Styela clava: one gene and its partners. The protein of the gene in region 1 purifies or fractionates together with the protein of each later gene. This does not show direct contact. Links are inferred from orthologs where the notes say so. Each region holds a gene or a part of one and is shown on either strand. Other genes may lie near its edges. The genes, in order: vesicle transport protein SEC20-like, NBAS subunit of NRZ tethering complex-like and RAD50-interacting protein 1-like.

The links.
Region 2: the proteins of vesicle transport protein SEC20-like (region 1) and NBAS subunit of NRZ tethering complex-like purify together in Homo sapiens (co-immunoprecipitation; 3 studies listed by BioGRID and IntAct, with this or other methods). This does not show direct contact. The link is inferred for Styela clava from reciprocal best matches to the Homo sapiens genes BNIP1 and NBAS.
Region 3: the proteins of vesicle transport protein SEC20-like (region 1) and RAD50-interacting protein 1-like purify together in Homo sapiens (co-immunoprecipitation; 3 studies listed by BioGRID and IntAct, counting the BioPlex papers as one, with this or other methods). This does not show direct contact. The link is inferred for Styela clava from reciprocal best matches to the Homo sapiens genes BNIP1 and RINT1.

Annotation. Positions count from the first base shown.
Region 1 is NC_135250.1:16,235,004-16,238,459, forward strand, and holds vesicle transport protein SEC20-like, read right to left. Parts: upstream 2,031-3,456; coding exon 1,299-2,030; 3' UTR 588-1,298; downstream 1-587. Other genes in the region: cathepsin L-like, read right to left, coding at 343-522; zinc finger CCCH-type with G patch domain-containing protein-like, read right to left, coding at 2,859-3,456. UniProt on the Homo sapiens protein: As part of a SNARE complex may be involved in endoplasmic reticulum membranes fusion and be required for the maintenance of endoplasmic reticulum organization. Also plays a role in apoptosis.
Region 2 is NC_135260.1:20,998,007-21,001,845, forward strand, and holds the start of NBAS subunit of NRZ tethering complex-like, read right to left. Parts: upstream 2,762-3,839; 5' UTR 2,727-2,761; coding exon 2,627-2,726; intron 2,249-2,626; coding exon 1-2,248. Other genes in the region: glomulin-like, read right to left, coding at 3,327-3,839. UniProt on the Homo sapiens protein: Involved in Golgi-to-endoplasmic reticulum (ER) retrograde transport; the function is proposed to depend on its association in the NRZ complex which is believed to play a role in SNARE assembly at the ER. Required for normal embryonic development.
Region 3 is NC_135250.1:9,705,847-9,709,446, reverse strand, and holds the start of RAD50-interacting protein 1-like, read right to left. Parts: upstream 2,359-3,600; 5' UTR 2,271-2,358; coding exon 2,133-2,270; intron 1,377-2,132; coding exon 1,135-1,376; intron 523-1,134; coding exon 343-522; intron 1-342. UniProt on the Homo sapiens protein: Involved in regulation of membrane traffic between the Golgi and the endoplasmic reticulum (ER); the function is proposed to depend on its association in the NRZ complex which is believed to play a role in SNARE assembly at the ER.

The DNA of each region.
Region 1 (3,456 bases):
AGATTCTATACTTTATTCTGTTGAGTCGCATTTTGCACTCTGTTTTCATTTTTCAAAATTGGATTTATATATCACATAAATATTAGTTGTAATTTCCATGCACAACCTAGCGAGATATTCACAAACTGTGATTGGTTACATATATTAAAATTACCCATCTGATTTTGGCACATTATTAGTTAAGCCTATTGGTTAACCATCATAAACATTAGTCCTTCAATACTGAACAAAATAGCACAATAGAAATGATGTTTGATGTCTAGAATATTTGTTAATGAATATTACAACATAATATACTAGGCAAATAGGACTAACTAATTACAATTACAACAGTATCAATACCTGATGTGTAACTTTATCAGCATTAATAAAAATGAATGGGATCTTTGCTTTTTTATATGCCCGACCAAATTCTGGTGGAAAACCATTTGTGTCCAATTCCATAATTCCACCAGGTAACGAATTATTTTCTCCAAAGCATTGGCTGAGTCCAATAACCAAAGCCACAATAAGGAGCTTCATTTTATTTGAGCGCCTTTCAATATTCCTACAGGTAAATATTAAAAACTAAAACTTTATTTTAAGAACTGTAAACACAGACAATATATGGCAAAATAAAATATTCAATCCCTGCACAACTAAATTTCATCCAATTAGGGATCAAATTTCTGTGTCAAAACCTATTTCTTTTTCCCACATTATCCGACAACAACCAATACCAAAATTTTACAGATGACAGACAAAGATACACATGACAACACCAATATTGTATAAACATTGAATAGATTATACATAATTCCGAAATAAACAGTAACTGTCAAGTCCTAAGTGCTGAACCACTGAAATCTTTTTTTAATTCGCCAGAAATTTATGTCATCAGCTAGAATTAGGTTGGAGTACTGAACTATTAAATTGAATTTATAATATTCCTTAACATGAACATGTAGAATCTTTTTTTCACCCTGCATTGTTCGTGCATCAGTGACATCAACCTAGAACATTTGTTGCCGAATTATTTTTAGATCAGTATTAATACTCAATACCACAAAAAAATTATATCAAAGATTCTGACGGATTATTGCACATTATTAACCAATTTTAACCTACAACAGAATAAATCAAGTTAAACACAGTCAGGAAAATATCCAGACAGCGATAAATGAAATTCTAGAAAACGAAGCACTGATATCTAGAATAACTGTTACTAATACTAAGTATAATGATTTCTAATAAATTAAATATATTTGAATTTAACAACAATATCATTCTTTATTAGTAAAATTTTATAGGGTTAATTATTACACAGGCCACAAACGCTTTTTCAAAATATATAGCACTGTACTGAAAAAGAAAGCCAATGCAAGAAATATTAAAAATTTATCAGTGCATTCTCGCCTATTATATTTAGTCAATAACCTATGACTGGTCTGGATAACGCCAGACTGGTCTTTCAATTCTTCATCGGTCTGTTTTAAAGAACCAGACGACCTGACTAACGTATTCAATGAGTCAGCACTCTGTTGCACGCTGCCACTCATGACCCGACTTATGCTCAACAGACTTTGTGTTACATCGTTCGCAGTTCGTGCAAGGTTTTCTTGATTTGCAGCAGATGCTTGACGACGACGAACTTCTGAGTTTTTAGCACCACCAAGAAGTAACATTTTCGACTCCTCATCGAGAGCAATCTTTTTAGTCAAATATGCTTTGCGCAACGTAGAATTTGTGTTCTGAATTTGTTCCTTAAAAAATTTGACCGACTCTTCCATTTCTAATTTTTGTTTCACATCATCAGCTTCCTGTGCAGCTGTTTCAAAATCTTGAATAGCAGCACGAAGCTCATTAATTTTTCTACGAGCATTTTCATGAATTGTCTGTAAGTTTTCTATTGTGCCATCACATCTCCAGACATCCTGAATCGCAGCTTTAGCAGAGCAATCCATTGTAACAATCTTTTCTTTCAAATCAGCATTTTCTGGAACTTTCTTCTTCTCCAGAGATAACTTACGCACCCAGCTTTGTGCATTCATCGCCCTATATTCTCAAATAACGCTAAACAAATATTGAACTTATTCTTGATATTGAGAAAATACAAAAACAAAAAAATCAAATAAAACAGAGTCACAGTGTGATAGCTAGCAAATATGAGTCAGTATCAAATAATGAAAATTGATTCTTGATTATCAGGCATTGATCAAAATATTTACGAAAATTAAATAATCAATCAACATCACTTTTTCTAAATCAAGGATTTATTAATGACGATGTAATTTAGTTCAAATGAATAGTCGAATGAAAAACACTTTTTGAGCACTTTTTTGAATTGTGACTTATTGCTAAAAAACTCTTGGGTCATCACCTGAGAGCAATCAAGCCAAACGCTTTAATTATCTAGTGAAATAAGAGCCTGCAGTTATGACGTTTTGTTGAAGCTGGCGCTAAGTTCCCCATACCAGCTGGAGCTGAAGCTACTAGAAATTTTCAGTGAGTCCCCAGTTCTTGAATGTTTACATATTATTTACCTTTTATAATTTTTTTTATATCACACTCCAATAAATAATGAAATCTATCATTCTCAGCATCATGATTTTGAGACCCACTGCCGTGAAATTTCAGCCCAGCTCAGAGGTAAAAACTGGAGCTCTAGCTGCTGTTTGAACATACTCTGGCTCCAAACCTGGAGTCACGTTGATTTCAAACAAGCTCTGCTTGCTACAGTGTGAAAACAATTTTACTTTAGTGCGCTATGATAAGAAATCCCAAAATAAACATTTTATAGAAACTACAACTTCATAGTATTAACACTACATGGAATTCTTAATTATGTTGTTATCTTCTTTTTAAGTATTGCACACCAATCAAAAACTTGTCATTTTTCTATGAGTTTCCATTCTTGACTTATGAATTTTAATATTAGATTCCAGTTCTTTCATGTTTGTCAAATCTTCCTTTAGTTTGTCGAGTTTTTCAGTCAAAGATTTGACGACTGAAGGATTAGATTGGTTCCTTCGTAATGATTCTTTTACTTTGAGAACTTTTGCTTTAATTTTTTTCATGTCATCTTCATTTTTCATCATTTGTTTATTGAAATTTTTTACATTTTTTTGTTCAGTACCAGCCTTTATTCCAAACATATCTTTAGGCATTTCAATTTGCTTTTTAGAGTCTTTTTTAGCTTCACTGACACCTAAAGTCTTGTTGAGGAATGAAAAAACACATCTGTCACGTTTTTTTCTCCTAAGTACTTTTTCACTTCCTTGTGTATTTTGGTTTGTATCGCCAATGTGTTTTACACCCTTTTTAAGTCTTACTTCCATGCAATGGTCGAGCGATTTACCAACTGGAAGCATGACAATTGGAACAGGTTCTAAACGGCCTTGACTGCTTTTACCCAAGCCTTCACCTAATTGATATCCCATTTTCTGCATAAGTTTCGAGCCTATGCCGTTAGTGTGT
Region 2 (3,839 bases), on another chromosome or scaffold:
AAAATAGGAAGACGATGTTCTCGTAATTCATCTCCATGAAATGTTAGCAATATATCAACTGATTTCCAATCGCATGAACGAGCATATTCTAAAGCAGAAGTTAACATGTCCTGTTGTCTAAAGATTGCAAATCTTTCCCTGTTGTAACGTTCTCTTGCTGCATCGTAGCCGCCCAGTAGACTTTCATATGTAGAAAGTCTGTCAAAGTATTTCAGAATCTTTTTTCTTGTTCTAATAGTTTCTTTTTGTTCAAGTGATAAATTATCAAAATCAAAATTTTTCGACCATTTTTTAACAAATTTTTCTCTTTGTCGTATTTCTTGTTGTCGTTGTTCCTCAACATCAAATCCTTCATATTCTTCATAATCTGATTCCGAATCTGAGGAAGTTGATGATGATTTAGATTCAGTGTGTTTCACCTCTCCAATTTTATCAATATCTGTAACTGTCAGTGCAAACTTTAAAAGCTCTCTAGCAGCATCTAGTTCGTCAGGTACTCTTTCACAACACTCGTGCATGACCCATGATCGTTTTGTGACTTTGCTTAAATAGTCCTGAATAGATGCAACTGAAACAGGTGATTTTCTCCATTGCCTTTGGAACACTTTGTCACTATCTAAGTTATATCTACGTGCCAGAGCTAGTGCTTCACCATATTCTTCATCATCCAATTTTTTTTCAAAAAGTTTCTCAGGTGTTGTTTTTGTCAAAGTTAACAGTCTATATGACTTTGTAACAAGTTTGGGCCGCTTTCTTGGAGGTCTAAAATATTCAATTTCAGTTAAATCATACATGGTTGATTTAGTGTAGTTTTTCAAACGGCCTGCTATACCTGGATGATCTTCTTTGTCACTGTCATCCAAAAATGGGTCATATTCCTCATCTTCCTCCTTTTGTGCTTCTTCTACCGAATCCATACGTTGTCGCTTCAATGTTTTAACTTGAGGTTGGCATTCTAACGCAAGGAAACCCTCATCTCTGCAGAATGATATTCTCGGAGCTGGCTCCAACCACTCGCATTGTTCACCAAAAAGGTTATCAAGAGACAAACCAGAAACACGTACAACTGTCAATGAACCAGAACAACGTGCTAAAATAACACTGGAGTCGTTCCACCACTGACAGTCAATAATGTTTTGTAATAAAGGATATTCCTTGAACTTTTTAGCAGAATTTATAGATTTCACAGCATCCGGATCCAGGCTATCAAAAAATGGTTGATCTTCTTTGTTCCAACATCTTTTGTGTCTGAGAGAAGGGATATCCCAGATGGAAAGACTACCGGATATTTGAATTGTAGCCAGAAATTTACAACATGGTGATAATGACATCGTATATATTCCATCAAAAAACTGTTTTCGCAATTTTTTACCCAAACCTACTGGAACAGTGGACAGCCTCCTCAGAAAACTCTGATTTCGTTTAGCATCATCAACATCTGAAAAAACATTCAGAGCTTTGAGAAAAGGTTCTTCTGACAGAAGCCGCCATGCTGTTAATCCAATCCTAGTCGCTCTCGGTACATCATCATCGCTCGTGGCATAACCAGCACATCCACCAACAATAATCATACTGTGGTCCTGATTATAAAGAACACCACTCACTCCATTAGAATAACTAGGTGAAAAATCAAATTCATACGTCATTTGATAACCTCTTTCATAAATGCTGTTTATTTCAAGACAAGTCGCCATTCCACTGTAAGACACGACCAATAAATGCAAACTGTCATCTTTATGTTTGTGTGTCACTTCATGTCCAATGAAAGTCAAACTACAAATGGCTGAACTATAATCATAAGCTTTTTTGTCATCATTCATGTGACCTTGATAAGTGAGTAAAAGTATTCCTTTGAGGTCACACACATAAACGGTACCATCGCTGTCAGAAAAAGCAATTGTTGTAGAATGTAGACTCCAAGAAATTTTTCGCCATTGAGGAAAAAGGTCTTTTGTAAAATTGCAACGCCCGACTAGCACACTGTAGTCATCTTTGGATGAGAGAACTTCCAAACATCCATCTTGCAATACTGCAATAAAATTACCATCAGGTGATCTAGCAAACATCCATGATTCTTGGCTGTTTATTAACTTGATCAAGTCTGGTGGCAAAATACATGATGCTCCTGATCTTACTGGAATACCAACAGCCCGGACAGTTGCCCATGTCCACCTTGATATTGAAGACTGAATCCGTTTGGCATTGTTGTAAATGACATTTGATTGAATTTCATCTTGTTGTGAACCTCCTGGAATATTATAAATTTTTATAATTACAAACATATTCAAGCAGCCAAATACAATTACGATTAATGACTGGTTTTAAAATTAAAATCGATTTTCACAGAATTAAAAAAAAATCTCTATAAACTGAAATATTACCACTGAGTTGTGGTCTTGTGGAGTCTGAAAATTCGCATTAAACTGCAAGCTGACTTAGGCTACTGAATAAAATATTGGGTCTGTCTGTTTGAAAATATATTTTCAACTTTAATATTAATAAAAGCTGTCAAATTCAGAGAATACACAGCTTCGTCATCGCCATGTATCAAATATGCTCACTTGCATAAAACTTTTTTTATATATGGATTTTTTTTTATATATGGACCAAGCAATAAATATCTCACCGACAACTTCCTTTTGTTCGGGCCATTCCACTTGATATGACAAGTCATATAATATTGCATCTTCTTCCAATGAATTGTCAGCTTGATTGCTAATATTCATTATATTTATGTATATAAATATATACTAAAAATAAGAATAATATATAAAACTGATCTTAACAAGAAATAAACTCAATAATTCATGGATGCATAATAAATTTGCATGTTACAAATTTCAAGTTATCTCCCGAAAGATATGTTATTAAACATTCAAAAAATAATTGAAGCATTTTTTTCGAAAAGGCTGACTCTCTATAGCTAACTTCTGGTAATTTAAATTGCACAACAGACTTTGAAAACAGATTGGGGAGTGACAAAAATGAAAAACAAAGTCATTAATTTTTATTCAAATTAGGAACTACGAGATAAATAGGTACTCCCAAAGTATGTGAACCAAGATGGAGGACACCGGAACGTAGTATGTGTACCAGGTTAGGCCATAATTTCAGGTACAAATACTACGAGTCACTTGGCTAGTCTCCGAACTCGTAATAGAACTAAAATAAGGAAAATTGGAATACAATTAGGGCCTAACCTTAACGTGGTACACATACTATGTTCAGAGTATTTTGGTTCACATACTTCGGGAGTTCGAATAAATAATACAAGCATATAGAGCTACAGCCGTTTTATTCAATATATGTTTCATTAATTGAATAAATCATAGCTTGTTTTGAGTATGCTTTTCACATCCACTATTGTGTTTTGTGTATGAAACATCTATCAACTCAATTACCCTAATTGTAACAATTTCAATCATATCAAAAGTATGCAATGCTGCCTCAAGTGTTCGCTTTTGCTCCTTGTATGGTAAAGTAGGTAATGGGGTTCCATTAACAAGAAATTCAGTTTTATTATCATCAGGACGTTTAGAACTCCGATCATACTTCTTTAGTTCATTTTCATAATGAGCTCGAGATAGGTCAATAGCATTCCTCAAAGGTTTTAGAAACTCTGTATCTAATTTATCCAAATGATCAAGTATTCCTGTTTTGTTCGTCTTATCTCTGATAAGAAGGAAACGAAACAAATTCAATGCAGGCATGAGTCTGTCACAGTCTTCAAGTAAATCAGTCTCTGTTCCTTGAGGTAATAAAAATATCAGCTCTCCTAGAGTAGACATTTTATGAGCTTCACAAAAAATTAAAGAATTTTTCGGGGAAATTTCTTGTAA
Region 3 (3,600 bases), about 6.5 Mb from region 1:
TCTGATTCAAGCGATAAAAATATCACATTTTACAAAGAATCAATTAAAAAATAAGTTGGCATTGGGGATTTTATTTGAGTGGGATATTCCATAGAAGAAATTTTCAATGACACTTTCAGAGAGGAAATTTACTAGGTGAATTTTTCTAAGGTGGAATTTCTGTAAGTATCGATTTGAGTGAAATTAACACACTGCACACTTATCCCACAAACAGAAAACCAAACTTATTAAACACCCTTTTTATCATTTTAAATTCACAGTCCTTTAAACAACTTTCTGCAAGCATTTTTGTTACTGTTCTAGTCTACCTCAATTATCATAACAATAATAACTGATACTTACAAAGCCAATTTGTCCTTCAAAAATTTATGCCAGAATAGAATTGTATCGGAAGTAAATTTCATTAGACTTTCACATTTTGAATGTTGTGTTGTGAGTATCTGGTTAACCTTTATCAACTTGGTAAAAGCTTGACTACCACCACTCAAATTGTCGCTCGAAATGCATCTCTGTATTTCTTCACTAAATAAGAAATGCATAAACTTGAAGAGTGGGCATTATGAACGATTGGCTTTGATTTTTAATTCTAGGGTCTGAAAAATCGTGATGGATGCATTCTTCAGCAATATATATAACAATAGCTAGTTTTCATAATGATATTTTCCATTCTGAAAATAATTCTTTATCAAATCATATTGGAACGCCCGATTATATTTACAGCGATTGCGAGCTTTTTTTGAAAGTTTGCCCGACATTTTGTCTTGAAAAACTAACAAATAAATATTTTGTTCAAAAGTATCTAAACCTTGCACAGTGTACGGGATAGCCTGTTTGTGATTACTGGAAACAATGAAATCAGTTTACTGAAATGTAGGCTAAACATTGTATGGTAAAACACTATGACATCATAATAAAAAGTTCAACAGCTACGATGACATCAATTCAACTACTTCAAGCACTTCAGTCTTACAATTTCCAGTCATTAAATAATTTTCAATGAAAAATATATAAATATATTATAGCCAAATGTGACTGTTAACATATTGGAAGCAATATATAATCTAACAAGTACGAATAAATATAGTTAGATTCATAAGTTGCCAAAGTTAACATTGTCTGCAATCTATGACAAACCTCAATTCTTCCACATGTTTCAACCATTGTAAATAAACAACAAATTTTTCTATTTCCTTCACTTGAAAAACCATTCCTCCAAGATCATCATTTATGGGCTGGCATTCTTCCATAGCTTGATTAATTTTTTTAACAAGAACATCTTTTTGTGCGATGAGAGTTTCACCTTGTGTTAAACTTTCATCAGAAAGTCGGATTGCACTTTCAATTTTTGTTGGAACTTCAGTTCTAATAACAGACAGCTATAAATAAAAGAACAATTTCTTAGTATTGGTACAGTAATACGTTTATTCCGAGATATAGTCAACAAAGGTGTCAAGACAGAATGTCTGAAAAGCAAAAAAACTAAAACGCCAGCGACGCAAAGGGGGGGACAAATTATATATGTGAATAAAACATGGAGACCACCCTTGTGCTAAAATGCACATGCGAATTATGATGCATAATGCATATTATTGCTCCTATCTTGTATAAAAAAACATTTTCTGGCATATGAGAGTTAAACAGGTACAATACCACCATAAAATAGTTCACTCAAACTAGCCTTCTGTAACATATGAAATTTTTCATATGAATTGTTTGGTCTTGTAACTGTGACCTAAACAAACATAATAGAACTCAATTACATTATGATGGTCATCTTCAACAAGGGAGTGGAAGATTATCATATTATTACCATGGGGAGCCAATTGAATATAAAGTCGTAAATGCTCAGATTGGAGGGAGGGGGGGATTAAAAAATCAAATGCCTGAAACAAGCAATCAAAATTTCAAAATTATCGACTTAAACTGACGTTTATTTTCCAGAATTAATAGCAAGTTGAGGTTCAATTTAAAGTGACCTTGATAAAATGAGATGTAATTTTTCTATAATCGCTATAATTAAAACCAAGTCAGTGTCGCATAAGGATCAAATTAATAATCATTGTTTCATTTTTGATGACCTTAATTTTGTATATATGTATATATCAAAATTCTGTACAATAATATATCAAAACCTGGTGTTCAATATCACGTTGTCTTCCAAGCAGTTGATTGTATATTTCCCTTGCATTTGCTAAATCATCAATCCTTGTTACTTGACCAAAATTTGTGTCAAGAAATTCCTTAACAATCCCCTGATGACGATTCATCATACAGCTTTCACAGACAAGGGTCAAAAATGAGACACAAAATCTCAAATATAGGCTATTACTATTCTATACCATTTCTTTGATTTAAGATAATCTGTGATGAAAGGTCAATTTGCATAAATTATGTATACCCATCTATGTTGTATATGACAATTGGTCACCTCAAATATTGTATATAGAAGTGCAAACTAAAGATCATAAATACTACCAAGGACTGAATTTTAGTTGATCAGGAATAAAATTTTTACCACCGTGTCCATAACTAATTTAATTTATGGGTATTGAGAAAGATTTTGCTATGTCTAACCAAGAGTAATGCCCTAAAAATATACAAAAACCTGGTTAGGAGTCAGGACATATTCGACACCTCAAAACCAAACGTGCTAAGTCCACTTTTCCAAAAAATGACATTTTTCAATTGCTGATTTTCCTGGACTTAGCTCTACATTTTGGTCTATTTGCCTTATCTCTAGGTGCTCTAGATCTCAAGACAGCTATGGACATAACCCTGCTTTTTTTAGGGCATTTGAGAACTAAACAGAGCTGTGTCTACTATAGTGGACTTAACTCTGGATAACTGCATTGTAAGTTGGGGCTAAGTCCGTTTTTTTCCCTCTATAATAACATAATAAAGGGGCCCTTAGTCCAATAAAATTGTTTCTGGTCCAGAAAATTGAGAGCCAAAAAGGGTTAAGTCCAAAAAAAAACCCCCAACACAAATTTTTTTATACCATCCAAATATGGCCTTCATTGTAACTTTGGTGGACCATAAAAACTAGACATCCTCGATGTAAGGTATTAGAGAAATAAAAAAAAGAAACAAAAAACTAGAAAAATGAACTTAGCCCAATTTGGATTTCATGCGTCGAATTATAAGGTAAGTAATAATTTCCTATAAAAATTTTGAAAATTGTAACAGGACTTTATAAACACCTCATATACTATTTAATAATGAATGTCACACACAAAGATAGGCTATAACATGAATTGTAAATTTTTTTTGTTCGATGATACAAATCAAACTGGTTTGTTAACATTTGCGATTTCCTCAAATTTGAAAATAGTTGCTTGATTGTACCAAACTCAGAAATAGACCAAAAAGTGTTTTACAGGAATACAAATAAAAACAACAATTACAATTTTATTACCTAACTCTCTAAAAACAAATTCGTAAATTTTTCAAAAGTTATAGAATAGTAGTATGTAAAGTAATTAATGTAAATAAATAATAATAATGGAAAAAACAATAATGCAGAGAACAAGAAATGAAACTGAAATCTTTAGAATGTCACAAGCAAACAAAATCACCAATACCATATCGGTAAACAAAAAA